Linked DNA regions of Sus scrofa. The protein of the gene in region 4 binds, or shares a complex with, the protein of the main gene of each other region. Links are inferred from orthologs where the notes say so. Each region holds a gene or a part of one and is shown on either strand. Other genes may lie near its edges.

The links.
Region 1: CUL3 (region 4) and KBTBD2 share a complex: the UniProt entries of both Homo sapiens proteins name them as parts of the BCR(KBTBD2) E3 ubiquitin ligase complex. The link is inferred for Sus scrofa from reciprocal best matches to the Homo sapiens genes CUL3 and KBTBD2.
Region 2: CUL3 (region 4) and KLHL42 share a complex: the UniProt entries of both Homo sapiens proteins name them as parts of the BCR(KLHL42) E3 ubiquitin ligase complex. The link is inferred for Sus scrofa from reciprocal best matches to the Homo sapiens genes CUL3 and KLHL42.
Region 3: the proteins of CUL3 (region 4) and KLHL22 are in contact, whole or in part, in a cryo-EM structure (PDB 8K8T), measured with the Homo sapiens proteins. The link is inferred for Sus scrofa from reciprocal best matches to the Homo sapiens genes CUL3 and KLHL22. Residues at the interface, in NP_003581.1 of Homo sapiens: Thr14, Arg17, Ile18, Arg19, Ala20, Phe21, Pro22, Met23, Met25, Asn49, Ser50, Gly51, Leu52, Ser53, Phe54, Glu55, Tyr58, Tyr62, Leu66, Met118, Asp121, Ile122, Met124, Tyr125, Arg128, Val129, Gln133; in NP_116164.2 of Homo sapiens: Asp73, Tyr74, Arg76, Gly77, Met78, Gly81, Gly82, Leu83, Lys84, Glu85, Leu92, Ile93, His94, Leu117, Gln121, Val125, Cys128, Gln129, Gln131, Pro133, Trp146, Glu150, Asn151, Asp154, Val155, Arg157, Leu161, Phe162, Asp163, Ser165.
Region 5: CUL3 (region 4) and KBTBD8 share a complex: the UniProt entries of both Homo sapiens proteins name them as parts of the BCR(KBTBD8) E3 ubiquitin ligase complex. The link is inferred for Sus scrofa from reciprocal best matches to the Homo sapiens genes CUL3 and KBTBD8.
Region 6: CUL3 (region 4) and KLHL21 share a complex: the UniProt entries of both Homo sapiens proteins name them as parts of the BCR(KLHL21) E3 ubiquitin ligase complex. The link is inferred for Sus scrofa from reciprocal best matches to the Homo sapiens genes CUL3 and KLHL21.
Region 7: the proteins of CUL3 (region 4) and KCTD5 are in contact, whole or in part, in a cryo-EM structure (PDB 8U83), measured with the Homo sapiens proteins. The link is inferred for Sus scrofa from reciprocal best matches to the Homo sapiens genes CUL3 and KCTD5. Residues at the interface, in NP_003581.1 of Homo sapiens: Thr24, Met25, Asp26, Glu27, Lys28, Tyr29, Val30, Asn31, Ser32, Ile33, Trp34, Asp35, Leu36, Leu37, Asn39, Ala40, Glu43, Asn48, Ser50, Leu52, Ser53, Glu55, Glu56, Leu57, Arg59, Asn60, Ala61, Tyr62, Thr63, Met64; in NP_061865.1 of Homo sapiens: Trp45, Phe55, Leu56, Thr58, Thr61, Arg64, Asp65, Lys67, Ser68, Pro96, Thr97, Tyr98, Phe99, Gly100, Pro101, Leu103, Asn104, Tyr105, Leu106, Arg107, His108, Gly109, Lys110, Leu111, Val112, Ile113, Asn114, Lys115, Leu117, Val122.

What each region holds. Positions count from the first base shown.
Region 1 is NC_010460.4:40,603,137-40,607,257, reverse strand, and holds the start of KBTBD2 (kelch repeat and BTB domain-containing protein 2), read right to left. Parts: upstream 2,801-4,121; 5' UTR 2,506-2,800; intron 1-2,505. UniProt on the Homo sapiens protein: Substrate-specific adapter of a BCR (BTB-CUL3-RBX1) E3 ubiquitin ligase complex that acts as a regulator of the insulin signaling pathway, modulating insulin sensitivity by limiting PIK3R1/p85alpha abundance in adipocytes.
Region 2 is NC_010447.5:45,952,088-45,956,184, reverse strand, and holds the start of KLHL42 (kelch-like protein 42), read left to right. Parts: upstream 1-1,297; 5' UTR 1,298-1,414; coding exon 1,415-2,286; intron 2,287-4,097. UniProt on the Homo sapiens protein: Substrate-specific adapter of a BCR (BTB-CUL3-RBX1) E3 ubiquitin-protein ligase complex required for mitotic progression and cytokinesis. The BCR(KLHL42) E3 ubiquitin ligase complex mediates the ubiquitination and subsequent degradation of KATNA1.
Region 3 is NC_010456.5:50,797,976-50,801,475, reverse strand, and holds part of KLHL22 (kelch-like protein 22), read right to left. Parts: intron 1,398-3,500; coding exon 1,205-1,397; intron 1-1,204. UniProt on the Homo sapiens protein: Substrate-specific adapter of a BCR (BTB-CUL3-RBX1) E3 ubiquitin ligase complex required for chromosome alignment and localization of PLK1 at kinetochores.
Region 4 is NC_010457.5:126,284,349-126,288,447, forward strand, and holds the start of CUL3 (cullin-3), read right to left. Parts: upstream 2,801-4,099; 5' UTR 2,386-2,800; coding exon 2,320-2,385; intron 1-2,319. UniProt on the Homo sapiens protein: Core component of multiple cullin-RING-based BCR (BTB-CUL3-RBX1) E3 ubiquitin-protein ligase complexes which mediate the ubiquitination and subsequent proteasomal degradation of target proteins.
Region 5 is NC_010455.5:48,485,789-48,489,718, reverse strand, and holds the start of KBTBD8 (kelch repeat and BTB domain-containing protein 8), read right to left. Parts: upstream 2,801-3,930; 5' UTR 2,694-2,800; coding exon 2,678-2,693; intron 2,037-2,677; coding exon 1,826-2,036; intron 1-1,825. UniProt on the Homo sapiens protein: Substrate-specific adapter of a BCR (BTB-CUL3-RBX1) E3 ubiquitin ligase complex that acts as a regulator of neural crest specification.
Region 6 is NC_010448.4:67,432,013-67,436,202, forward strand, and holds the start of KLHL21 (kelch-like protein 21), read right to left. Parts: upstream 2,801-4,190; 5' UTR 2,360-2,800; coding exon 1,339-2,359; intron 1-1,338. UniProt on the Homo sapiens protein: Substrate-specific adapter of a BCR (BTB-CUL3-RBX1) E3 ubiquitin-protein ligase complex required for efficient chromosome alignment and cytokinesis.
Region 7 is NC_010445.4:39,426,809-39,430,761, forward strand, and holds the start of KCTD5 (BTB/POZ domain-containing protein KCTD5), read right to left. Parts: upstream 2,801-3,953; 5' UTR 2,752-2,800; coding exon 2,500-2,751; intron 1-2,499. UniProt on the Homo sapiens protein: Its interaction with CUL3 suggests that it may act as a substrate adapter in some E3 ligase complex. Does not affect the function of Kv channel Kv2.1/KCNB1, Kv1.2/KCNA2, Kv4.2/KCND2 and Kv3.4/KCNC4.

The DNA.
Region 1 (4,121 bases), on a different chromosome or scaffold from region 4:
ATTTCACAGATATTAAACATACTCATGAGGTCATTAAGAGCTTAGCCACTTAACAATGATTGACAACGGAAATTTCTTTAAAAAAAAAAAAAAAAAAGTAGGAGTTCCCGTCGTGGTGCAGTGGTTAACGAATCCGACTAGGAACCATGAGGTTGCGGGTTCGGTCCCTGCCCTTGCTCAGTGGGTTAACGATCTGGCGTTGCCGTGAGCTGTGGTGTAGGTTGCAGACGCGGCTCGGATCCCGAGTTGCTGTGGCTCTGGCGTAGGCCGGTGGCTACAGTGGCTACAGCTCCGATTCGACCCCTCGCCTGGGAACCTCCATATGCCGAGGGAGCGGCCCAAGAAATAGCAACAACAACAACAACAAAAAAAAAGACAAAAGACAAAAAAAAAAAAAAAAAAAGGTAAACTGAGGAATACTTAGAATCTGTTGCCTATGATGGAACTCACTACATATCACCACTTGTTAGAGGTATGGGTGTGGAGCTGAGGAAAAAAAGAGAATTTAAAAAAGCTTGTTTCATTAAATGGTTATATTTTCTCCAAATCTCCTACAATAATCCCTTCTTCTCACACAGAGGAATCCAGATACTGACAATTCTTGGCAAGAGAACCAGGAGTAATCTTCATATATTTAAAAAGTTACTTGAATTAGTTACTTATAGTACTGAGTTATTTAAATATCATCTGCTCTATTCAAACTCCACAAAATTGAAAATGATAATACTAACATATAATGAAGGATTTTGACGTTTTCATTCATATTTTTTATGACAGCAAAACCAATCCTTTTTCCTGGTTGTAGGAATGTGGGCAAGGAGAAAAACAATTATTTTCTAAATAAATAAGTAAAATCTTTGAGAATACCTTTTGGCTTTTAAGACTGCATTCAAGCTTCCATGGATTTACCATCCACGTTAAACCTATTTACAATGTTTGCATTTAATGAATTATTCTCACCCATCTCCTTAAAGGCCGTGTGAATAACCAAAGTTAACCGCATTTATGGTAATGCTTATTGCCAGAGCAAAAAAGAGAAAACTGATAGCATCCTACAAAACTGGCTGTAGAGAAAATAGCACTATGTGGAAAAGCATAAACTATAAAGCATGCTCAACCGAAGTGCCATTGTCCTGCAGTGTTTACTGAGGACAACCACCTCTGGAGAATTTCAGGGCCCAAACTAAAGGGGCTTCAATGAGCACTAGACCAACAAAAGATTAAAGTGAACTAAGCTGAACATCAGCAAAATTTCACATCATCAAGACTAGCAAACAACTGACTGGTTTGACTTTTTCGATTTTCTTTCCGTCACAAACAGCCCTTCTGAAAAAAAGGTTAGGAAGAAAGCCGTTACCAAAGCTTAACCAAAATAAGTCACACACAGTTGCGATAGCTGAAGTCCATACCACTAAAACACAGGCAAAAATTCACAACACGGAGAGAAGGAAGAAGGAAAAAAAAAACAAAAACAAAAAAACGCACTGTTAATTAATTGCTTCAAAAGGAAATATAATTTTAACCAGGCCACACTGCCGATAGGTTGTCTGCGAATGCCAGAACGCTCAGGGAGCCAGACGTACAGATTCATGTATCAACAACACGTGACCAGAGCTGTACCGTACCCTACGTTTTTCTAAGGCTGATATGGTAGACAGATACTTCACACACACATACACTTTCAGAGTTAATTTTCCACTTTAAACTGTTTTTCTAGTTTCACTTGTGGGGGCCATCGTGGCATCGGACAATTCTAGAAATCTGCAGACTGTACATTCCTTTCCCTTTGAGGTACCCAAGAGAGAGAGTAGGTTAATAAACCAGGGGAAAAAAAAAAAACAAAACCAAACCTGTTAACTCGAAATAACTACATCAAACTAACGGATACTCTTCTACTCCAAGGTTTCTCAATTCATAGGGAGACAGGGTGGTCGAGTTCAAATAAGTTAGGGATTTCACAGTCTAAAGTAAACACGCACACAATTTTCCGTTTCAAAGGGCAGATTCTGCCGTCTTTTAAAAATCACGAGCAGATCACAATGGGACCTCTGTTAATCTAAACATCTCCTGGCTACTTCAGATGTACCGGGAAAGAAAAACATGCGAGCGAAGGGCTTGCCCTCCTTCTGCCCACCGTCTCGCGAAGATGTCGCGAGTCGTTAAGGGAAACAGCTTGATTTGGGCCAGCGCGGGCGCCAGCCGGGGCCAGGGCGCCGCCCGGGAGACCCGCGGCCGGAAACGCCCCCGCGAGCGGCGCACCGGCCGGACGCCGGGCCGCAGAGGGGCCGCCGCGGGGTGGGGAGCAAGGCGCCGACCGCCCGCGCCCCTCCCCCGCCCGTGGCGGAAGCGTCTCGGGTTTGAAAGATGCCGCCGCCGCCGCCGCCCCCCGCCCGGCGAGCCACAAAGAGCCGAGCCCCCTCCCGCCGCGGCCCTCCTCCCCCAGTTCCTCCACAGGTCGTCCCCGGCTCCCCCCCCCCCGGCCCAGCACTGACGACGCCTGCTCACCCGAGTCCCTCTGTCCCGAGGGTTAGGATCCGGTGCGGCTGGCGGCCCCGAAGACACTGGGCCCCTGGGGCGCGGCGGCGGGGGCGTGGCCCTCCCGCGGCGTCCAGGGCCGGGGTCTCGCCTCCCGCCTAGGAAGGCTGGCGCCGCCGCCTTCTCTTCCTTCCGGTTTCCCTCGCGCCCTCCCTCGGCAGGTCCGTCCCGAGCGGAAAGCAGCGTCCTCTCTAGGCGCCGCCGCACGCTCCCCAGGGCCCGACCACCGCCAAACTCCTCCCCCGGGAGCCGCGCCGCCCGCACCGCCTCGTCAGCCCCGGGGCCGCGAGACGCCCGGCTCGCCGCTCCTGCCCCGCCCCTGCGGCGCGCTCTCGCTCCCCTTGGCGGGCCCCTTCCGAGGCCCGGGAACGCGCGGACAGCGGACTGTGGGCCAGCCTTTGCCAAGTCTCCTTTTCCGCCGCCCGCGCGCGCCTAGCAGCACAAACGTCAGTTTTGCAGTTTCCCGGGTTCTGGAGACGCCCCCCGCCCCCCCAACGCCGCCCCGCCCTTTTCCTTTGCTGAATCCCACCGGAAAGCCAAAACAATTGGGTCCGCGCAGGCGCGAGAAGGAAGCGGAAAGAGCAGGAAGGGCGGGGGAGGCGCGAAATGACGGGGAAATGCTTTTGAAGGGGTTTCCCGGGGAAGGTCAGCGGAGAGCCCGCGGAGAGCGCGTGCGCGGCCGAGGGGTCGCCCGTGAGACCCGCCGGCCTGGGGCGCAAGGGGGGCGGGGGTTCGGGCGGTGGAGGGTTCTGGGGTGCTACGCTGGCGAAGAGAGGCCCGATAAATTGAGTGCTAGGAACTACAGACAGCTTTATGCCTGTTTTTCCCCCTTGAAATATAGAAATTTGCAGGCTGGGTGAGAGAGTGAGAATGAGGAGCACTGAAAAACATCAGACCATGAAAGAAAGAGAAATTGGGCGGCTGGCTAAGTAGGCTTTGTCTCCTAAGCCCCTAATCTCCAAAACAGGCCCTCCACTTTGCAGAGCATGTTCCGTTTTCCTGATCGAAGCAAGAGAGGCTTCACGTCCTGGTTTCAAGGCCAAGGAAAAGCAAAACAACACCCCAAAGGGCCTGCAGCCCTGGGGAGGGAACCGTTGGCCTGCGGAGGGGAGGCTCTGAACGCCAGAGAGTTTGTGCTGCAATGCAGCGGCTACCTGCTCTCCAAACCCGAGCCTTCAGCTTCACATGTGAGATCTTTGCAGTAGCCGAACGCTGTGGTCTCCACTTGGTACTGCTAGCAGGCAGAAAGTTGTAGATTTACTCTCTCTTTTGATAGAAGTTATTCGTGGATCAAAGTTGTCAGAAATGGCCGCATAGGCTTCATCCTCCCTCCTAACTTCCACTCTTGGCACAAGCCCAATCTGGTGAATGTACATGACTAATTATAAACGAAGTGCATATGTGTTACTGAAGAGATTCTTTAAGCTAGACTAAATCAACTGAATACACACCAAAATGTGTGTATCTGGGACTACTGATAAGGATTTTGCAGTAGAGTCTAGAAACCAGCTCAATTTAACAAATCTTTATTGAGTGTCCAGTATGCTTTTACTCTGCTTCGTCTGATTAAATGTTTAAGTCTTTTG
Region 2 (4,097 bases), on a different chromosome or scaffold from region 4:
GGTCTGGGAAAGTTCCCAGGGGGTTTTGAGTAAGATAAGACTAAACACACATAGAGTTGCCTTGTGGCTCAGCGGATTGAGGGTCCCGCGTTGTCACTACTGCAGCTCCCGTCCCTATTGTGCAGGTTTGATCCCTCGCCTGGGGAACTTGCACATGCCACGGTGCCACAAAAACAAGAGGAAAAAAACCAAAAAAAACCCCTACTCTACCCTTCTAAGATTCATTCATACCTCCAAGCAACACAAGATCTTTTGGGGGGTGAGGTTTCTATTTGCAACGTTCGGTGGGAGAAGATGCGGAAGAAGTAGTCCTCAGTTGGAGCGGACAAGGGTAGGAGAGTGGGTAAGAGGGTGGCAAGAAAGGCCATCTCTGTAGGCAGATATGAGCAAAAGCAACCAGACCTTCTGCCCAGAGAGTAATAACATTCCGTGACGGCTAGCCCAACCAAACTGAAATTAGGAATGCCGTGGCTGGTAGAAAATAGCATAAAAGGAGGCACGTGATCTAACTTGATTTAGTTGAGTTGAACTTCTTTCTTTTACTGGCCTAAGGAGAACAGGCCCCAGCAGCAAATACGAGCTCCCCTGCTTCCCAACCCTTTCCATCGGGTGCATCGGATGCACGCAACGCACTGAGCCCTGCAGAACCTGCTGCCATCTAGCTGGACCTCCTTCCTGCAAGATGGCTCCTACACGGTGACCATTCCCAAGAATCAGCTCTAGGTGCCACCTCCACGTCCAGAGACTGCCCGTGGGCCTCAGTTCCCCGGACAGGATGTCGGACTCGGCCGCACGAGCGGTCCCAGATGTGTTGTCTCTTTGACCCCCTGGACCCCGACTCTTTTCATCTCCTCCCTCCAACCCTCGTTTCTTTTGCTTCTTTCCTTCTCGCTGGTCGAGCGGCGCGGAAGAAAAGGCAGCCGGCCTCACCCCGCCTCCGAAGCATCGACGCAGACCGGCCGGGCTGCAGGGTCGCGGCGACCGGCGTGCGGGGGCGGCTGTGCGCCTTCCCGGGTCCCGCAGCCTTCCAGCCCTCCCCGAAAGTCCAAGCCCGCGGCGGGGGTCCTGCGGGCGGAAGTGAGAGGCCAGGCGTGGGAGGAGGCTCCAGGCAGACGGCCCGGGACGACCCGAGCAGGGAGCGCGCATCGCCCGGGCCTTTTTTGGCGCGGAGGGAGGCCGGAGGGGCCGTCCACCGCGCCGAGCCGGGAGGGTGGCGAGGCCGAGCCGCCGCCTCCGGGACTGGGAGGAGGGGCCGTCTCGGGGGCGCCGCCGCGGCCGGGAGAGGCTGGGCGGGCGCGGGCGGCCCTGCGCCGCCGCCGCCGCCGCCTCCCAGCGCCAGCGTTCGGCAGCCTCCCCGGAACCCGGCGAGCGCGGAGAGCTGGCGGGAGCCCCCGCTGCCCCCGGGCCCCCAACCATGTCGGCCGAGGAGATGGTGCAGATCCGTCTGGAGGACCGCTGCTACCCGGTGAGCAAGAGGAAGCTCATCGAGCAGAGCGACTACTTCCGCGCCCTCTACCGCTCCGGCATGCGTGAGGCCCTGAGCCCGGAGGCCGGCGGCCCCGAGGTGCAGCAGCTACGCGGCCTCAGCGCCCCGGGCCTGCGCCTGGTGCTGGACTTCATCAACGCCGGCGGGGCCCGCGAAGGCTGGCTGTTGGGCCGACGGGGGGAGCCGGGCGGCGGTGGGGAGGAGGAGGAGGACATGGACGAGGTGAGCCTGCTGTCCGAGCTGGTGGAGGCGGCCTCCTTCTTGCAGGTCACGTCCCTGCTGCGGCTGCTGCTGTCCCAGGTGCGGCTCACCAACTGCCTAGAGCTGTACCGCCTGGCGCAGGTGTACGGGCTGCCCGACCTGCAAGAGGCCTGCCTGCGCTTCATGGCCGTCCACTTCCACGAGGTGCTCTGCAAGCCCCAGTTCCATCTCCTGGGGTCTTCTCCTCCGGCCCCCGGGGATGTCAGCCTGAAACAGAGGCTGAGAGAGGCCCGGATGACTGGGACTCCTGTGCTCGTGGCGCTGGGTGATTTCCTGGGGGGACCCCTAGCCCCTCACCCCTATCAAGGAGAGCCCCCGTCCATGCTCAGGTACGAGGAGATGACCGAGCGTTGGTTCCCGCTAGCCAACAACCTCCCTCCAGACCTGGTGAACGTCAGGGGCTATGGGTCCGCCATCCTGGACAACTACCTCTTTATAGTGGGCGGCTACAGGATCACCAGCCAAGAGATCTCCGCGGCCCACTCCTACAACCCCAGCACCAACGAGTGGCTCCAGGTGGCCTCCATGAACCAGAAGAGGTAAGCAAGCGCCCAGCCGTGCTGCTGCTTTCCCGCCTTCATCTGTTCACGAATTTGGTCCCCTAGTGTTTGCTGAGCAGTCACAGGAAGTTGTGCTGGGATGGGAATGACATCCTGGGGAGCGTTGGTGGCCTTTGGCAAAGTTACCCATGAACTTGGCAAGGAAGCCGAGGCCCCAGTGAAATCAACTATCTGAGTCATTTATTTGCAGATATTGCACCTTTAGACTGCCCCCCCCCCAACTTTGCGTCTATCTCAGTGGAAAAAAAAAGATGTGTGTGGTTTCCTAGAAGGATACCTTTAAAGAAAACTGTAATTTTGCTTTTATTTTTACCTTTTTATTTTTTAGGAACTAATGCTGATTATAATGACACATGGGGCAGTAACCTGTAACACTGATGTTGGCGAATCTTGTTAATGACCTTGAAGCTTTAAGCACTGGGGCACCAACCTGTGATCAGAAAATAACCGTTAGAATGTCAGCTGTATAGGAGATCATCTTTATTTTTTTATTCTCTCTTTTTGCAGCTCACTTTCTTTGCAGACAGTCTTCATCATGGACCCAAAACTTGAGCCTTACATTGGTCACCTGCAAAATTAGAACATTTCCATTTGTCCCAACCTTCTACCTTCCCATCCTGCACATCCCTCCCAACATGCACTGGGGTGACTTGAAGAAAGGAGAAGAAAAGGAGATGGGGGCAGGGGGAGACAGAGCCAGGAAAAGAATAGGAAAACAAGAGCAAAGAGCATTATAGGAAGAAGTGGTAGAAAGAAAGATGGTAGGGCCCAAGATGGCCTAGAGCCATTCCAAAGAGGGGAGAAGAATCAATGTAACCCAAGGGAGGACAGGAATACCCTTTCTTCTGGTCCACCTGTATCCATCTCAAGTACCACCAAGATGCCTGCCCTGAAGTGTGGAATGAGGATTTGGGAACTCACAGCCATGCAAAGAAAGTCTTAACAGGAATGGGAAAGTCATCACACATATTTACTTGACTTAAAGTCCTCCCCCAAGGCTGAGCAGTTGGGGGGGGGGGGAAGGGAATGAGTCCTGGCCTTTTTTCGACTGTAATATAAAATTCAATTTGGAAGGTTTTTTTTTTTCCCCTCATAATAAAAAATACAGAGTTATTCACAAAAAATAGAAAAACGTCAGAGAATGAAGAAGCAGAAAGACTGTCACTCCTACTTTCTCCTTCCTGGAGGTGATAACCATCTAGAGGTTGGCGAATTTTCTTCTAGGATCTCTTTGTTGCATTGCATTATTTGCACCAAGGGGGATGTTACTGTATTTAAATTTTGATATCAGAATTTTTTTTTTTTTTTTTTTTTTGACTATGCTTGCAGCATGTGGAACTTCCTGGGCCAGGGATTGAGCCTGAAACACAACAGCGACCCCAGTCACAGCAGTGATAATGCAGAATCCTTAACCCACTGAGCCACAAGGGTACTCCATCAGAGCGTTATTTTATTTCAGTTTTTGTCTTTTTTTTTTTTAGGGCTGCACCTGTGGCATATGAAGGTTTCCAGGCTAGGGGGTCTAATCAGAGCTGCTGCTGCTGGCCTACACCACAGCCACAGCAACAATGCCAGATATGAGCCACGTCTGCTCCGTACACCACAGCTCATGGCAATGCTGGATCCTTAACCCACTGAGTGAGGCCAGGGATCGAACCTGCAGCATCATAGTCCCCAGTCGGATTCCTTTCCGCTGTGCCGTTACAGGAACTCCCAGAGCATTATATTTAAACAGATTTTAAGAGTGTTAGTTGAATCAACAAATGACCGTGTAGTGGTGATGGGCAATG
Region 3 (3,500 bases), on a different chromosome or scaffold from region 4:
TCACCACTGGATCCCCAGGACTTGATATGCAGTAGGTGCTTACTAAATAGCTACTAAAGGAACAAATGGATGAAAAAAGGAAGAAGGGAACTGGGACACAAGGGAGAAGCTGGCTGAAGGCCAAGGCTGCCCCTCTGTGGCCACACTGAGAAGTGCAGCCTCCCCACTGCCCAGACAGGGAGCCCCTGGAGCCCCTCTCCCACATGACCACTTCCTCCAGGACAGAGCTCCAGGTCCTCCAAGTCCATCAGGTCTCAAGGACCCCTGGGATTTCCCAAAAAAAAAATTGACCCCCTTCCTCTGAACAGGGAGAAAGTACCCTCAGAGGGCCTTCCTCCCCAGAGGCAGGCCACTCTCCCTTCCTGGGAGGAGCCACCATGGGGCTCCCTGGCCTCTCTGGGGTGCTGGTGGGCTGTGGAGAGGAGCTGGACCCGTCAGGAATAGCCCTCATATCTGAGGCCATGGGCCTGGGGATGGGTGAAAGATGGAGGGTTCAGGGGGTGGGAGGACGATCAGGGGGTCAGGAGTTCCTGCCAAGGCCCAGGGCCAGTGTGGCAGAGCAGGTGCTGCAAGAGACAATGCCAGCCCTTATGCGCACAAAGCCTACACATAAAGGCTGGGACCCAAGATGCATGCAGGAGACTGGCAAGGACCTCTCTTGGCCTGGGGTCTTGTGTAGGGTTTGGGTCCAGGGTCCCAGCCGAGTGCACAGGGTGAAAGCATTGTCTTTGCACAATAAACAGTTTTCCTCCTCAAGCTGGAACAAACCAAGCTACAGTGTAGGATACACATGATTGAAAAAAAAAAATACAACTTTTAAAGTGTTTCTAGCTCTGGGCCTGTAGAGTAGGTCTGATGCCACAGGGCCCTGCCTCTCAGCATCCCTCCAGTTTAACATCAGTGGATGTGCCCCAGCAGAGCTGAGGGATAGACAGGGGAAATCTTCAGTCTACACTTGGCTGCAGAGTTAAAGGAGCTGACTGGAGCCAAGGTACAAGACCACTGTGAGGGCGGAATTCTGGGGAAGAGGTCTCTCCTCGGTGGCTAGCTCAACCTCAGGGGTTCCACACCCTAACCTAAAAGCAGAGTCTGTAGGGGTGTGGACCCTGATACCTGGGCTGGGTTTGCTGGCCAGGCCTCCCGCTCACTCTGCATAGCCTGGGAAGGAACGGGAAGGAGAACCCTCTTGGAGGGGCTTCCTTACCTCCCTCTTGAGTGGGGCCACATAGGCCCAGGAGTTGGTGGCGGGGTCGTAGCGCTCCACAGCACTCAGGTCATTATGGTAGTCGCGGCCAGCCACTGCGTAGATGTACTTCCCCACGACACACACGCAGAGGTCAGCGTGCTCCTGCTGCAGGGACTGGATCTGGAACCAGCGGTTGTGCCTCGGGTCATACCTTGTGGGGACACAGGACAGGCGTCACTGACCACTTGAGTCGGCCAGCAGACCCATTAGCTGCCCCAACAGCAGCACACACCCCCAACAGCCACGCCACCCACCATGGCGATGACGAGTACAAGTGTGTCCCCAGCATACAGCCTGGAGGGTGGGGCCAGGAGTCTCCTGGATTTCTGCCAAGAGCCAGGCTCTTCCAGTGTTAGACTGCGGGTGGCCCAAGCTGCCCAACAGCTGTTCCTACAGCCACCTCCACCCCACCTGTCCCACCTCAAGGTCCCCAGGGCCCCACTCTCAATCATGAGGTCCCCAACTGTGGCCTCAACTGGACGGGCGCAAGAGCCTCCAGCCCTCCAGCCAGCACTCCCTCAGGCGGGCCCACCAGGCTCCCATCTCAGCCCCCTTTGTCAAGTTCTGTGCATCCCCTGTGTGCAGGGTTTGGCTTCCCCAGCTGGAGGAGTGGACACTACCTCACTGGCTGTGGGCACCTCAAATGAGGGGCCCTGGGGACTCTAGGAAAGTGGCCGGAGCAGCACTGCTGGGCTGAGGGCCGCCTAGAGAGCAGGACAAGGGGCGGGGGGAGCCCCTGCTGCTGAGCCTAGCGCTGCTGCTGAAGGTTGCTCTCCTGACATCAGGCCACCTCCATGCCCCTTTCAAGGGGACACAGCTGCCCCCAAGTCACAGCCCCGCCTTCTACTTTCCCCATCAACTTTCATAAAAAAGTCCAACCCCCAGGCAGCAGCTCCCTTCCACGCCCCTGTAGGAGCTGCCCCAGCCCCACTCTCCTGCTTCCAAGGGCTTCACCTTCTCAGCCCAGTTGTGTCCAGTGCCCGGTGACTGCCCTGTGCTCTCTCCTCACGCTGTCGACGGCTCTCACCCCCTCCAGCTAGCTGCCCACCTGTCTTACGTGGAACCCTGCACTCCCTCTATCTGACCCCGTGCTCACCAGCTGAGCCCCAAATCCTCAGGCCTGAGCCCTGTGGCTGTGGCCCTTCAAAGCCCAGGCCCAGCCCCCGCCCCAGGCTGCCCCTTCCCCCTCCCTGTCCCCAAGGCAGGAGCACTGAGTGAGTGAACACAGAAGACCACAGAGCCTTGAGCCAGGACCTGTGAGCCTGAGCCCCAAGCCCTCTTCCCCGACTGTGCAGGCCCTTCCCTGGGCTTGCACCCAGGCACCAGCTCCTGAGCGCCTGCCATGGGAACCCCCTTGCACAATGGCCCCCGCACAATTACAGCCTTTTTCTGGTGTTTTATTTTTCTGCAGTAAGACCTTCCAAAGAGGACTGTTCCCTGCCCTATGCCAGACGCTCCTTATTTCAGCCTTTGCCCCAAATGCAAGGTAGACACACAGCAGCCGCTTCTTCCCACTGCAGCCCCCCTGCCAGCAGGAGCCCAGGAAAACAGGCCCACAGGACAGAAAGGACGTGTGTGGGCCACACAGACCCGAGCCTGAGTGCTGCAGGAGGGACGAAGCACATGATAAAGTCTTTGGAGGACTGATGCTCCTGTCTATTCCCAGACCTCCATGGTGCTCCTGGCTCAGAGTGGATCATGCCATCTGCTCAAGGACTTGAAGGAGGAGTAAGGTCACTGGCAGTGAAATCCTTCCTTCACTCTACGAACACCACTGGCCCCCACTGTGGACGAGCACAGTGGAGACCCGAGGCAAGAGCCCCCTGTTCAAGTAGGCTGGGAAACGGGCTAAAAGGAGCAGAGTAGCAAGTGCTCTGCTTAAGGGCAGGTGCTGTGGAGGGACAAGATGGGGACAGAGTGGAGCCAAGGAGGCCAAGAAGGCAGAGGTCCAGCTGGGCCACATCTCTTCTGGCCCACTGCCACCAATGAGAGACCCTCCGGACATTCCTCTGGCTTCTGGCCTCACAGCTGCCTGGGCTGAGCTCACATGGATTTGTAGTTTGAGATTTAGGGCTGGAGTTCCCATCGTGGCTCAGTGGTTAACGAATCTGACTAGGAACCATGAAGTTGCGGGTTCGGTCCCTGGCCTCGCTCAGTGGGTTAAGGATCCAGCGTTGCTCTGAGCTGTGGTGTAGGTTGCAGATGCGGCTGGGATCCCGTGTTGCTGTGGCTCTGGTGTAGGCCGGCAGCTACA
Region 4 (4,099 bases):
CAAATAAATCACTGAAATACCACACCACTACGGTATGTACCTATCTTTAACGAAGGTTCAAAGAACTATGACTTTAAAATTTATATATTAAAAAATATAATGATTCTTTTCATTGGAACTACTTACAAGTGATGTTAATACTTATGAAATAAAAAAAACTATTGGGCTTTAAAAGTTAGCAGATACTAAGTACTAGCTATCAATCACTAGCTACTTACAAACTTCATTTAAAGATTTCAGAAAAACTTAGAGGGCAACAAGTTATAGACAAAAAGGGTCTAAATTAGCTCATGACCATAATGCGCCTTAAGAAAATCAGTTTCAGGACTATGAGGTAACCTGTCACAAAGTTATGACACCCTTCGCCTAAAGGAATAATAAAATTCTCTCCCACCCCTTCCTCCCAATGATACAAGATCCAGAAAGGAGAGACCATACTTATTTATCCCAAACCCCTGCACAGGGCGCCTGGCACACAGTCCTCAGTATTTGTTGAATGAATGAAGGAATGGAAAAACAAACAGAAACAGACAGACCAAGTGATCAAAGAGTTGACTACACACAGATAAATGGTTAATCAGAATATTAACATATATGAGTTGATGTCAAATGTGAGCTATTTCTCCTAATCTTAATTAGGAGAACTCAGACTTCAAGAATAGCAAACTTTTCCTAAAAAACTTGTATAAAATCATTTTAAATGCTGAATAATTCTAGATTCTGCTAAAGATGTTCAGAACTGATTTAGTAGGAAAACTAGTATCACTCACAAATTCATAAACCCAGTTCATTGTTCCATTATAAGGGAAAACACGCTAATGAATTTCATTAGTGCTCTTCTGTCAATATTTCTCATTTTCGTTGTAGTTTCTCATATTCACTTAGGAAAAAAACCTTCAAAAAAATCAAAATCCCTTTAACCACCATCAAAAAATTTAATTCTCCTTAAGTATATCCTCCCTTTATTTACATAAAGCTGGAAGTCTCTTCACACTGACATCAATATTTACATTATTACAATTTCAGAATTCTGCATCAGGAGCATTTTTTTTCTTTTAAATCTAAAGAATTTTCAGAGAGGTCCTCAACCTCCCTGGGTCAATTTCTTACCAAACTAGGACATTTATATGAATAAATCTTTCCCCATTGCAAACTACACTTTAGAAAAAAGCATGCTTTGAAAAGTTAAGTACAGACCCTCTCTTTCCCCCCCTCACAGGATATGTGTTTGTGATTCTAAGACAGGAAACCCAACATCTTTCTCTAGTTTCACTGTTTTAAAATCTTCTGCTCAACTGCTAGCTTGTCTATCTTGACGTGTATCTGTTACTGTAGCGACATGAGCAAGTATGTCCAGTTTCTCTGTTCCAACTGCACATTTTAATTGCTTGCCATTGGCTATCTGAATCAGATACGACATCCAAAGTTATACCCTATATACTAAACACCGCAAGCGTATGACTCAACGTAATGCTAAAAAAGAAAAAGTTTCTGAACAGAATACGTTTGCTGTCACTAAAACCTAAAGCAAAGCAACTCGGAGTGATGACTACTCATTCTTTTGGGCTTCCACGGCCAAGAAATGGAGAACCAATTGTCCAATTTGATTTCTCTTGTCTCCTCTTGAGTGGCAAGGCAATTCCTGCACAAGTTTGTAAAGTGCTTTGGAAGCTTGTGGATGAAAGACGTTATAAACACACCCGATGTTATTAGTACATTACTACGGAGCATTACGTGGAAAGGCTGTCACTGCGTCGGGGGTAGGTTGAAGGCATAGCCCTTCCTGAAGAGGGGAGGAAAAGGAGAGGACAGCCCCCTTCACCATCCGAAACGTTTGGCTGGCCATCTTTTAGGTTGGGTTATTTTTTAAACCGCAGCGAAACCCCACGTGAAAAGTTACACACACGCCCCATACGAGGAGGACTTCCACAGTCCTCATCCCTGCAGGGCCGGGGGTCCCGGGAACCGAGGAGCGGAATGCTAGGGGTTGGGCCTACACCCCAGGAACGTGGACGGGGGTGCTGGGACCGGCGAAGGGGCCCCAGCCGCAGCCGACGCCCGCGGGGCCCCAGGAGGCGCAGCTCCGGGGCGGGGGCGCGGCGCCGGACAGGGGCGCGGGGCGCGGGGAACGGCCCGGGAGGCTGCCGCGCTGGAGCCCCGCGCAGCCCGGTTGCCTGGAAGGCTCGCGCCCCGCGGCCGGCGGCGTGGGGGAGGGGAGGCCGGGCCTGCGGCCTGTTGGGGGAGTTCAGCCCGGGCCTCGCGTGCGGCTTTCGGCCGGGCCCCCGGCCCCGGGGTCCCAGGCGGCGAGAAGCGACTCACCGGAAAGGCCCGGATCCGCATCTTGGTGTCCTTCCGGCTGCCCGTGCCTTTGCTCAGATTCGACATGGTGCTCGTCCCCTCCCCGGCGGCGGCTTCGGGTCGCACTCCGAGGCGCCGGTGTCACATTTAAGGCGGGCGGGCAGGCGAGGGGCGACGCTGGGGGCGGCGGCGGCGGCCCCCGGGCTGGGCTGGAGAGCTGGCCGGCCCCTGGGCGGCCGCGGCGGGGGCGGCGGCGGCTCGGGCTCCGGCGGCTCGGGCTTGGCTGGGGGGCTGCGCTGGCGGGGCGGCTCCGCGGGGTCCTCCTCTCGACCGGCTCGGCTCCCTTTATCGCGCTCCTCCGCGATGGCGGCGGCGGCGGCGACGGACAAACATCTCACTGCGCAGGCCGAACGTCCTCCTCCTCCTCCTTCTCCTCCTCCGCCTCAGCGAGACGAGATCCGGCCCAGAGGGTGGAGGGGGGAGGAGGGAGGGAGGAGAGCCGGAGAGTGGAGAGATTGGGGGAAGGGGGGGTGGGAGGACGGGAGGGGGAAGCGGGCGGCCGCGGCGGGGACGCTCAGATCTCGCGAGAAGAGGGCGAGCGCGCTGCCCTGGGTGGGGCGGGGCGAAGCCTGGAAGCGGGAGGGGGCAACGGGAGGGGAAGAGAGGAATAGGGAGTTGGGGAAGTGGGAGGGGCCAGCGGGGCGGGGAGGTGGGAAAGGGGCGGGACCGAGGGCGGGAGGAGTAAGCTGACTTTTTGAAAGGGGAGCGTTGGAGACCGGATCCTGGGCGGAGGTGACTGCTGATTGGTGGAGTGCGGAGCCGGTGGGGGTCCTGTTCACGTGGACGGAGTGGGCGGGGGAAGTTCCGAGAGCCGGAGCAGGACTGTAGTAGGCTGGGGTTCCGCTGGGCTGGGCCCGGCGGCGCTGCGATGGGCTGGGGTGGGCCGGGCCGGGCCGGGCCGAGCTAGGGCGGGCGGCGGGTAGTCTCGGGGAGGAGTATGGGGTGCTAGCTGGATAACCACGTCCTAGAACTGGTTCCTGTGTTTTTCTAGGGCAGGTGTACTAGGGATGGGTACTTGAGCAGAAGCCAGAAAGTTGAAAGAATAGTTGTGTAGGAGTTACCTGCAGTGGCAGAAATTAGGGTCCTGTATGCCTAACAAGGTATTCGGATTGGATATGCACACCCCAGCTGTCAGGATTCAGAAGTGGAGATTTTAATCCACAGATTTTCCTTAAACTGCAGAAGTTCTTGATTCACTGATATTTTCTGAGGGACCCAGGACTTACTAGTGTCAATATTTCTTTTTCTTTACCGTTGAAGTAAAATGACAGCTCCCTTAATGGAGTGCACTATTTTGGTAAATGGATGATAGAAACCTATCTTTAATCTGACAAATCATTTTTATCGTTATGAGAGTGCCATAGGTTTTGAAAGCCAAAATTTTTTGTCTTTGATTCCAGTTTGCTGATAATTTGGGGCAAAACTTTTTGGCATTGTGGTCAAAAAGTTTAGTTTGATTTATCAGTTTTGCTTTGCATTTACTACGAATTTTATTTCCTAACTTAACTCTTTGCTCAGTCGATGTGGTATTTGAATTTCTGACTCTGCAGAGGAATGTGTGAATGCCCACTAAAGTTTGTGATCTCACGTTAAATAAGAACTTATTGCTGAGATGGGTATCTACATTTGGAAGCTGCAGTATTAATACTTTCAAACTTATTTTTAATGCCTTTTTAAACAGCTGGAGTTCAGTACTTTTGTAGTATTTGGAAGCTGGGGTTTTTTATACTTTTAAAAAAAT
Region 5 (3,930 bases), on a different chromosome or scaffold from region 4:
CTCTACTGAAAGAAAAGAACCTCATCTTTAAATTTTCTAGCCAAATATCTTCATCTGAATTCACATGCCTTATGCTTAGAAAGTTTTCCAAGCATCTCCTTCTTGGAAATTAAGAAAATCTACTATAGCTTACTTTTTTTAAAGTGATTTGTCCATGTCAGAACTGACTGTGCTCTTTCTGCATGCAGTCCACTCCCTCCACCTTTGAAAGCTCTTGCCCACTGATTGACAGTGGGGGAAGTCAGCCTTTGGACAGGAGTCTGCACCCCCCCTGCAACCCCATTATAAATAAAGCAAACTTTCCTTTCCACAAAAAAAATAAAGTGATTTGTTTAGGTCTTCAAAACCATTAGCCAGAGGTAAGCCAGAATATCAAATACAGTGAGATATAGACATTTTCATGTTAAAGTTTCATTTTTTTTCTTTTTTACTTTTCAAATCTAATAAAAAGTTAATAGTTCCATATGGTAAAATTTAAAAAGAACTCACTCTTGTTCCTTAAAAGTCATACAGTGGCTAAGAATCCTAGCTCTGGAATCACACTCAACCATTGCCACTAGTTACTAGTTAGACAGATGACTTACACAGGGCATTTAACCTTCCTGAGCATCAATGGATGGCCTCAATAAATGAGTATCACCCACAGTTTCCATTAGAAGCCAAACTTTATATATTCTGTGTACAAGAGTTTCTTTTTTTTCTTTCAGCACACTGCCTTGTTTTGGTTAATACTTAATACTCTAATGACCTACCATATGCAAGTCTAAATGGTTACATCATAAGCATCAAACTGAAGTGACTATATTTAACCCCGTATTCTGAGAAAGAGGAACCAGAAACTACTGTCTGGAAAACTACACTGCTATATGCCCTATAAAGGTAAACATCTTCAAAAGGAAAAAGCACATTTAGGGTGTGGTTGAGAATATTATTTCACAGTCATTCATGCACCATTTTTGAATACTAAAAGGCTTAAAGTGAGAACTTGAAACAAAAACAGAAGTTAAACAGGAAATTGCCTCTTTCACTGATATTTTCTTAGAGAATGAAATTATTTTTTAGACTCAAGTTTTAAAATTTTACTTTTCAAATTTTATGATATATAAATATGAGTTTAAATGAAAATGAAAACTGAGCTTAAAAATACTTCTGGAAATCTTAGAAATAATCACTAGTCTGGGGTCTAAGACACATAGAACCTAGATTGCATTCATTTTTATTTCATTGCTGTTATCCCCATGGCATTAAAACAATCCATTAAATGGGTAATTTCTTTTTTTAAAAAAACAGGCTATTATGTTTTAAATTCTAAAAGAGTTAACGTGAACTAAAGAAATCTTGGATAAAATTCTGGAACAAATTCCAGATCAGCACTGTCCAATAAAACTCTCAGTGACGGAAACGTTCTATATCTGTGCTGTACAATGTGGCAGCCACTACCTACATGTGGTTACTGGGCACTTTAAACATGGCCAGTGTACTAAGGAACTTAATTTTTAATTTGATTTTAGATAATCGAAGTTTTAATAGCCACATGTGGCTAGTGGCTGCCATATTGGACAGTACAATTTTAGATTTTCTGAAACAAACAGAAACATATTCACTGACTTAAAAACCAGCCACCTGAATTCTAGAAGAATCTGTCAAGTACCCCCCCCACCTCAAAAAAAGGCTTAATAAAATAGGGCCAGTTATGTATTTTCTGCAAACAAATCCATTGGTTTCATTTCATTGTCGCATCTCAGTATAATAATCAAGTGGGCAATACTGAGGGAAAAAGGGAACTCGGTGCAGATCTCAATAGAAGTTTCCACCATCATCATACCTGAAGTAAGGGCTGATTGCAGCAAGAACGTTTCTATGACAGGAAAATGTTTTCCCGTGATCCACTTCCACTACAATGTCTGTTAGCTGCCCTTCATCGTACATTGTTTTGAGTTGCTTAAGAATACTGCAAGCATGGAAGGGGTCCATGGCTTCGCTGGCTGTGTCTGAAGATGGAATCCCATTCGGTGTTGGGGAAGACTTATTTAAATCTAGCAGGAAAAAAAAATCAACCACAAGAAGTTCGGAGTCAGTTTCACCGTCGCGGGGTTTTATTGGTTTCTTTGTTTAGTCTTGTTGTTGTGGGGTCGGATTTTTTTTTGGGGGGGAGGGGTTGTTTGGTTTGTCCTCCCCCCTTCTAAATACATACTTGTATACAGACACTCCCAAATAGGACCGCGAGGTAGGATCTGGGCAAGAGCGAGCTGCGATGCAAGTTCCAACAACCAGCCTGTTCCTCTGGGAGCCCGGCGAGCTCGAAGCCCGGTGCTCGCGGAGGGACCGTGCGGGCTGAATTGGCGAGGTGTCTACGAGGACTCCGCCACAGCCGGAACGTCCCAGCTAAGAGCGCAGGGCAGGAGCCTCACGAGGGAAGCTCGATGGATGGTGGCCGCCAGTGGCCCCCTCAACCGCCTAGTGAACAGGTCGGAGCGGAGGCGGGTACCCGGCCTCCCCATCCCTGTCCAGCCGGACCGCCCACCTCCCTCCACGCCATTCATCCTCCCTCCCCTCATCCCTGTCCACCTATCCATCCTTCTTTCCCGCTCCTCATCGCTGCCGCCTCAGCTCGCAGCCTGAGCTTGGCCCCAGGCCCACCACCCCTCCACACCTCGGTAACCACCACACGACCCACCTGCCGACGCGGCCATTTCTCGACGGGGCCCGGGCTCCAGCTATTTAAAGAGGAAATGTCATTTCGCTTCTCTCTCTCCCGGGTTCCGGCTCTTCTAAGCTGCCCCTAGCCAATGGGGTGTCCTACGCATCCGGCTCCGCCCGTAGCCTCCGAACTCCGGGCGCCTATTGGCCACGAGGAGTGCGAAAGCGCGTCGGGAAATGTAGTTTTATTGTCCCCGCTCCCGCGTGGTCTGGGTCGGGTGGAGGCCTAAGCCGGCGACTCCTATTGGGTGGTTCGGGAGGAGGAGGAGAGCAGGGAGCCCACCAGCCTGTGTCTGCAAGGCGCGCAGTGCCTGCCGGGAGAGGTAGTCTTCTGGCTGAGGAGAGCTGTCATTCTGAGAGGCGAGGTTAGGGAAAGCTCTTGAAGTGCGAATGTCCCCATTTTAGGCCTCTCTCGAGGCCCCCCGATCTTTTTTTTTCTTTTTTCCACCTGGTCTTTCGTTTCCTAAATCTCCTGCCAATGTTCAGCTTCCGGTATGAATGTGGGGGTCCGCGTGAGGGCTGTGAAACCAGACAAATTTGGAAATGGACAAGAGGGCTGTTGTCCAAAATTGTGAAGGAAATCTGACACCCCACTCCGAAGAAAAATATCGGGAGGCCGAAAGCAAGCCATCTCTGATGAGTCACCTGTGACACCCAATTGAAATAGCATCGCCTTGGCTGAGTCTTCCTGTTTCCACAGATTAACTTGTTCTGGTTACAACGGCTGCTCAGGATCTTTAACTCTCACTCAAAGCCTTGCTTTTCTCGAGCATCCAGGGAACACCTGTTCCATTTTTAAGAGCACATGAACATTATAAAGGGTTTCAAGGTGATTTCCTTTTATGTTCCTGAGAAAGTGAGGTGTTGAGATACTTAGTAGTCTGGGATTTCCTTTGAAGAAATACTGGAAAGTGCCCTGAGCCCAGGATTAGGGACAAGTACTGAATCTCTGACTCTTTACTTCTTAATGTGGGACCATACACAAGACCCTTTAATTCTTGAAATGTTTAGCTCCTTCACCGGTAATGTGTGAATAATTATTCCTATTCCATCTGCTTCACAGGCTGCAAGCCTTTTGAAAGAAAATACAAATTTTACTGTTGACATGTTTTCATTTTCTTGTCTCCTGTTTCTAGCATCTAACAGGGTGCCTGGCACATTATAGATACTTAATATTTTAAAAAAATGTAAGTCAGAAATGAGCTAATGTCAGAAATGCTATTTCTAGAT
Region 6 (4,190 bases), on a different chromosome or scaffold from region 4:
ACAAAGTCCTTGGTAAGTCCTTTCTGCCTGCTTCTTCCTTCTAAAGGAAAACTGCGGCAAAGGCAGCTGAAGCCACTTTGTCGCCCCCATGAAATTCCCTACAGGCAGCTGTAGGGAAGGACCCAGCCACCTGTCTTAAACCCAAAGGATTAGTTGCTCAGCTGAGACATTTATGGAAGGGTGTGCGAAGCCGGGGCGAGTTGGACCAGTTCTGGGAGTTCACAGGCCAGACCTCTGTGGTGATGGGTGGGGGAGGTGGGGGGGAGGCAGGCAGGAAGGTTCCCAAACACAGGGCCCACCTGAGATGAAAGGGACTGATTCTAGCAGATTCCCGCAGAGGCTGGACCTGGAGCTGGGGGCCAAGGAAGCTGTGGCCGCAGAGCCAAGCCAGTCCTTAGGCGGGGACGCGCCCCACCCGTCAGCTCAGAGCCCCACAGAGTACCAGCGTGCGTCCGGGAGGTGGTTTTCTCCTGAATGTGCCAGGCTGGACAAGGCCTTGTGATGGCCCAGCCAGCGTCTCCCTGCCTGATCCAGCCCCAGCCCCGCAGGCCCTGAGTCGGGATCTTTCCTTATATAGCCGTCCCACAGACCGCCCTCCTCGGCCCACGCGAGGCGGTGGCCTCCTGTTTGAACCGGGATTCATCTTTTACAAAAAATGCGGGCGATGCCCAGGACTGGGGCGGGCTGGGACCCGCCCAGCATGACTCGGCACAGTTTTGGGGTTTGGGCCAAGTTAACTGGAAGAAAACCTCTTAGCATGTGACTCTGTTTACAGTCGCTGAGCAGGCAGCAGCCTAAACACCACGTGACCCGCTGCACTGGGCCTAGGTGCAGGGCCGAGGGAATGCTGTCACTGGTGACTAAGTGAGGGTGTCAGGAGGCCTGTGCTGCTCAGACGTGAGGGAGAAATGCCGAAGGGGGAGAGGGGATGTGTCACAGGGCGTCAGTCCCTGGCCTGTCCCCGGATTCCCTAGGGAGCAAAAGAAAGCACTCATTGTGCAGCGTGACTGCTCCTGTAGCTTCCAACCAAATGGGGGCACCTCCCCACAAGAGGGAGGCTCTCCAGGCAGGCCCTGCGGGTGGGGAGGACCCACAAACAGCAGCTTGTCCTAACTCACACAAGGGGTTCTTCTTCTCTGTCTTAAGTATCACCCTGGAATCGCACCCGCGTGCCAGCCTGGGGGTGGAGGAGGGGAAGGGAAGCGGCTGCTTGAGCCCAGGTGCGGGGCCGGGATTCCAGGGGCTGTGGGTTCTCCTGCAGGTGGATGTGGTTCCCCAGGTGCGCCGGGTGTCCGGCCAGCCCAGGGGGTCCTGCTGACCATCCCCCGGCCCACTCACCCGTCACGTAGATGTCGTTGCCCAGTGCCACGATGCTGTAGCCCCCGCCCAGGTGGTCGGGGAACTCGGCCAGGTAGCGCCACTGGCCCGTCTGCGGGTTGTAGCAGTCGACGGTGACCAGCTCGTCGCAGTCTTGGTCGCAGCCGCCCACGAGCACGAGGATCTCGGCGAGGCCGGTGGAGGGGCGCGGGCGCATCCTGGGGCAGGGCCCGCGGTCGTGGCGGTCGTAGCGCGCCGCCTGGAAGTCGCGCGCCTCGCGCAGCAGGCGCAGGCAGGGCGGGCAACGGGCCACCAGCGGCTCGGCCTCGACGTGAGCCAGCAGGTAGAAGCGGCGCACGAAGGGCAGGCGCACGGCCTCGAGCAGCTGGGGCCAGTGCACCGCGCGGCGCGGCGGGTCGGCGCGCACCCAGCGCAGGGCCAGCTGGTAGGCGGCCTCCTCCTTGGGCACGCACAGCCCGTCGTCGCGCAGGTAGCGCAGCAGCCGCGCCAGCGGCAGCCGCTCCAGCTGCTCGGCGCCCAGCTCGCCCACGTGGCGCAGGATGAAGCGCTGCGCCGCGCTCGCCAGCCCCGCGCAGCTGAAGGCCTCGGCGAAGTCCTGCATGTCCAGGCAGTTGGCCAGGTCGAGCTGCTGTTGCAGGAAGGCGCCGCACGCCTCCTTCACGGCCGGGAACTGCAGCAGGTCGGCGGCGCGCAGCAGCGGCTCGGCGTTGTCGCCGCTCACAGCCACGCGGCCCGTGTAGCTGAAGTCGAGCAGCAGCTGTAGCATGTCGGGCGGCACGCCGTGCAGGCGCACCCGTTCAGCGCGGCTCTCGCGCAGCTGCCCCGCGAACATGGCGCGGAAGTAGGGGCTGGCGGCCGCCAGCACGGCGCGGTGCGCGGGGAAGTCGCGCCCGCCCGCCGCCTCCAGGGTCACGTCCAGGAACTTGCGCTCCGCGCGGAGCTGGCTCAGGCCGCGAAGCAGGCTCAGCGCGTGCGCGGGGTCCGAGAAGGGCAGCACGGCCAGGGGAGCCGGCCGCTCCATGGCGCCTTCACGGGGGGAGCGGGGCCGCTGCGCGCGCTGCTCGGGAAGGCCGCGGCCGGGGCCAGCGGGAGAGACGCTGGACGCTGGACGCCGCCGCTATAAATACTGCCGGGCGCCTCGGCCTCCGGGGAGGGGGCCGGGTCGGGCGGGGGCGGGGCGCCGACGGCACCGCCCAATTAACCCCTGCGAGCCTGGCACCGCCTCCCGCCCCGCGCGCTGCGGAGCGCGCTGCCTCGCCTCCCCTCGCGCGCTCCCGCCCGCATACTCCAGGCTGAGTCACCGCCGCCCGCGCCGCCTCCCCTCTCCGCCCTTCCGGGGCTTCCTGCAAGCCTCCCGCCGACGCCTGAGCCAGGGACACCGAGTGACAAGTGTCCTCTCCTAGGGGCGGCTGTGCGCTGGATCCGGGGCCTCCAGGGCCTGCCATCACCCACCCACAAAGCCCCTCGCCGGGAAGCGAAGGCACCCATTTCGCGCCAGACTTCCCAACCGCCCCAGGGCGACTGGGGACAATGACTTTTTTTTTTTTTTGGATTCCACTAGTTCCAAGCGTTGCTAGTTAACCCTATCTCAGGACAGGTTTCAAACGACAGAATTTTTTTCACTTCGGGACCAAAAGCATAAATAAGTGTGAGGTTTTTAGGGGACGCTTTTTCCTTGGCGCGTCAGCGACATGGGACCAGATGCCAGGAATCTGCCTCGCTATGTTCCTGCAGGAGGTTCGAACTTGACCGACTGGGTCATTAAGTTCCGTCAGCACGCAAGGCGCGCAGTTTTCGTTTCCGACTTGTAGCGACTCTTTGAGTCTCCTGAGCTGCCCTCTGAAGGGGGTCAGGCCTGCTCTGGCTGCATTATGTCACGCTGGCCTCCTGGTCGGGAAATGGAAGTGGGGAAGGCAGAAAACAGTGTAGGAAAAACCCATGAAAATTCGTAAGAGTATAAAAATTCAACACAAAGCTGAAGCACCAGAAAATAATTCTGGGGAAAAACAGCACTTTGTCCTATTTCATGAGAGGGGCACTGGGTTCAGGGGTGGGGGCGGGGCGGGGCGGGGGTGGGGTGGGGCACAGGGCCTCAGCTCAAGGTCAAACAGAGGACTACCTTAAAAACCAGGGAATATTGGAGGTCCCCTTGTGGCTCAGTGGGATAGGAGCCAGACTAGTATCCAAGAGGACACGGGTTCAATCCCTGGCCTCACTCAGTGGGTTAAGGACCAGCATTACCTTGAGCTGTGGTGTGGGTGGCAGACGTGGCTGGGATCTGGCATTGCTGTGACTGTGGTGTAGCCTGGCAACTGCAGCTTTGATTTGACCCCTAGCCTGGGAACTTCCATATGCCTTGGGTAGAGCCCTTAAAAAAAAAAAAAAAAGCAAAAAACCCCCCACTAAAACCACCCCCCAAAAAACAGAGGATATGGCTGCTCAGATATGTCACAGTCACTTGCGGGTGAAGAAAGAAATCTTCCTTACTCTGGTTCCAATATATACAAAACCCGGGCTGTGTTTTCAATGAAACCATATGAAAAAATTCTCTCACTTGAAAGCCATTATTTTCTTTAGTTTAATGTATGTTTTGCTCAATTTCAGAAAAGACCCTTATTCCAGGAGTGTCTGATGTGGCTTCATGGACTCTGTGGTGTCTCTGTAACGCTGGGATACAGGTTGGATCCCTGGCCGGGCACCGTGGGTTAAGGATCTGATCCAGAGCCCTGGAACTCCATCAACCACAGAGCAGCCAAAAAAGAAAAAAAGAAAACCCTTGTCGCACTTGTTTTGCAGATGAAGCCTGGGTTTCTGTTATACGATAGCCCCCACCCTTGCCCTGTAAGCCCGGC
Region 7 (3,953 bases), on a different chromosome or scaffold from region 4:
AAGAAGTGAGAATTCACACTCTTCACACTCGGACTAGCCCTAACGAGGGGGTCAGGGCAGCAACGGGCCCAGAGTCAGGACTTGAGACGAGAGGGCAAGGGTCGAGAGGCTTGGGGCTTGGCGGCCAGTGGGTCCCAGGTGCAGCCCAGCTCTGCACCTCCGCCCCCAGCAACCTGTCTGCGGGCTCTTCAAGGAAGCGCTCCTTCAGATAAATGTCCTGGGACCACCTCTCCTACACGGCTGCACGGCTGAGCTCCCCAGCAGACATTCTGCCCGGCAAGAGCAAGCTGCAGCCACACTCCCAGGGAACTCCCAACCCGGCAGGTTGCCGAGAGACTCCAGGGCTTCCGTTTCTTGGAACTCCTCCCCCTCAGATCCAACCCAACCCCTCACCCAAGCACTCGGCTGCAAGCCCAGGTGCTCAACCCTGAGTCAAAGGCCCAGCAGAAAATCTTCCACCAGGCCCTCCAGCCCCAGCATACCTGCCAGGTATGCGTTCATTAACCTTAACTACGAGGTCAGGGCCTGGACATTTTCCTCCGTGAATCAACATCCTGTTTCTCTTCCAGTCGCTTAATTACTAGTGTCCCACCCGTCCAAACACCCCTTCCCCTCCTCCACCCTCGTCCAGATTCCTCACTCAGGGTTTAATTATCGACAAGTGAATCTCTGGGACATTCTCTCATCAGAAACGAAGGGGGTAAAACCTAAGAAGGGGTCCCTTACACATTCGCTCATGGGTTGATGACCATGACTAATGGGAATTAGCCTTACGCCTTCCGGAAAATGCGCATCTGTGGCTAAAGCTAAAAACTTATCTTCCAGCAACTATTCTGAGACAGATGCTGTATCTGCTGCACTACCTTCACATTGTGAAGTGTGATTTCATAATGTGTAAATCAAATGTAGTTAAGTGGATGATGATGAAAGGGAGCAACTATAATATCGATATATTCTGAGATTAACTAATTACTTGCCCCAAAGGACTCCTATACAGTACATGATAATTGTTTTTAAATAGTCTCGAGACAGTAAAATAAAGAGATGAATTGCCTGAACTGTGCAAACTCTGAATCCGTCTAGTGCATTGACAGCCAGTGCCTCAAAACAACCCCGTGAACAAGAGCAATGTAAAATCGGACTCCATATGCACAACTGGAAAACGCTCAAGTAGAAATGCAAGGGAATGACCACTAAGACCCACTGTTTAAAAAGAAAAACAGAACAGTAAAACATACAGCCACGCTATAAAAGGAAAATCACAGCTAACAAAAGCCTGTTTCTATCCTGGAGATGCCTGTCATTTTCTGGGAGGCCAGTTCTCCGAGAGCGGAGCTTGGTCAAACGATCAGTGGACACAGCTGAGGCTTGGGGGAGGTGCGGGTGGGCGGCAGGAGCGCTGGCATCTCAACCCTAGTTCTACCCAGGACTGGTGGTTCTGTGGTCACTCGAGGTCTCATTTCCCGATCCTAAGGTCAGGCCACTCTGAGGATGATCTCGGTCGGGCTTCTGGATCTGGACAAGGGATCACACTCTTTCTGGGAAGCCTATGCCTGGCAAATGCTGGGCTGGCAAGGCACAAGGCCAAGGGCAATTACGTAGGCCCAAGCCAAAGGCAGGAAAGTTAGGATAAGGCCTGTGAACCGCCTAGGATACGTACAGGGAATAACTCTTCTTCCAGCACAGCCTTTTTTTGAGTTTCGATGCCATACAGCTGCCGAGACAATTCTTTAAGTAATAATCGAAACAGCTTCTATTATCACCTGCACAACAGTCTGATGAAACACAAGCAGCAAACCAACCTAGAAACTCCTATCCTTTTGAGAGAGCAGCAGGAAAACTAGGTTAATGAGAAAGTAGATTGAAAAAGATTTCCTATCTGGCCCTTCCTTGACACCCCTGAGCCACGCCTCAATATGAGCCACATTCCCTTCGAAAATCACTCTATGGACGGCACTTTTTGAGACTGTTGTGTGGGTGCGTGTTGTGGCTGAAAACGATGGAGCGCCAACTCCCTAAATGCAAGTCACTGAGAAAGGCAGGCCACTAGTATCAAACCCCACGCTAACGTTAAGTAAAACGTCTGGAATGTGAGAAAATGAGGGGAACATGGGGATTCGGGATTCCAGAGCCAGTCAGTACACCGGGACGGAGAAGAGAAGGTGCTCCCGGCGGGGGCAAAAGAACCTAGGAGAGAAAAGAAAGTAGATCCCAGCAGAGTCCGGGGTCTGGGAAACCTCCTCCGCGGAAGAGCAGAGGAGGGCGAGACAGACACCCCGAGGGGGAGTGGCTGGGGCTCTCGGAGGGCGGTGGGAGCCAGGGCGCCATCCTGTTCATCCTCGGCCCAGGACAGGGAGTCGGGGGCTCCGGTCGGGCTGGTGAGCAGGGGGCAGCGAGACCCGGAGCCGGGGCGGTTCTCTCAGAGTGGGTCAGGGGGTGTGTGTGGGGCCGCCGACGGGGGCGGCCCGAATCCTCCTGGCTGGCCCGCGCGGCCCTCACCTTGTCCGAGTCCAGGTCGGGGTCGGCCTGGCACAAACGGTACAGGAAGGATTTCGGATCCCGGCACAGCGTCTGCCGAGTGGTGAGGAAGTAGGTGCCGCCGACGTTGAGCCGGACCCATTTGGACACGTTGCCGGGGCGCTGGGCCAAGGTGCCGAGCCCCGCGCTGCAGCGGCGGCACAGGCTGCCCCCCAGCCCCGCCCCGAGGCCGCCCGGGGCCGGCGGCAGCAGCTCGCAGTGACTCTCCGCCATGATCCCAGCAAGCCCGGCCACAGCTCCCCTCTGCCGGAAGCGTCCGGCCTTTAATACAGTCCTCCGGGCTCTGTCCCGCCCACGGGTCCGCCCTCGTAAGGCGCCCACCCCGGCGTCACGCGGGAGGCGGAAGTTCCGGTCCGGAAAAGCGGCCGGCCGTGCCCCCTTCCGGCCAAGTCCGGCGCGGCGTGGTCCGGCATCGCCCTTGTGGGCAGGCGGCGGTGGAGCCCGGCGTCGCGCTTGAGAGGGGCTGGCCGGTCTTCGCCGGGCGCGCGCTGTGCCCGAACACCCTGTTCCTGGCCCCGAATTCAGGTCGCCCTGCGACGCCCGACCCGCGCCCCGGCCAAAGAAAGCTACATCAGTGAGCGTCTACATTCTACATGCTTTTTTATTACAAGGCTACCGAGCATACGTGGAAAATTCATCATCCGGTAACTACACCTAAAGCACAAATATTTGAAAAAAAAGAATAAACAGATTCATTAAATTATGATATGATTAAATCATCGACCAAATAGAAAATTTATATAATAAAGCCAGAAAAAAAGTTGTAAAATATAGTTTACAATAATTATTCACATTCAAGGCTGTACATCAATACATACAACAACGTGGCCCGAACATGAATTCAACCCAAATAATTCATATATTAGATTTTAAATAACACAGACTGAACTAGAGGCCAACAATAGCCAGCAAATAACCTTATATAAGAATAAAAATACAAAAGTGTATATCCTAATATCATTGCATTATTTGTTTCCGTAAGTTTTTTTTTTTTTTAATATTTGCTTTGCCTGTACATCACAGTTACAGCTACAGACCAGGTAGAGAATATTACACATGTTCTGACTGCCACCAACCTGAAAGACAGCTAGCATACTACTGATTCATCCTATTTTGTGTTGTTAATAGCTACAGCAGCTCTAAATATTGCGAAACTTTGATTTTGTCAGTGTCCAATCAAACGTAGGATCATGGCAGAGGCTTTTCACCAGCAAAATGGCCCCTACTTATAGTCAGGCAGCCAGAAGGGTTAGACGAGGGTGGACCCCACAGCTAAAAAAGGTGCGCCTTTTGTAAAAAGTTCTCTGTACATAAAGTTTGGTCGTTCTTCATACTGAAGAAATGAGTTCTGGGTAAATTCTGGTACACATGAGGCCTGTTTAGTTGCCCACCATGGCTGTCTGAACTACAGGTAA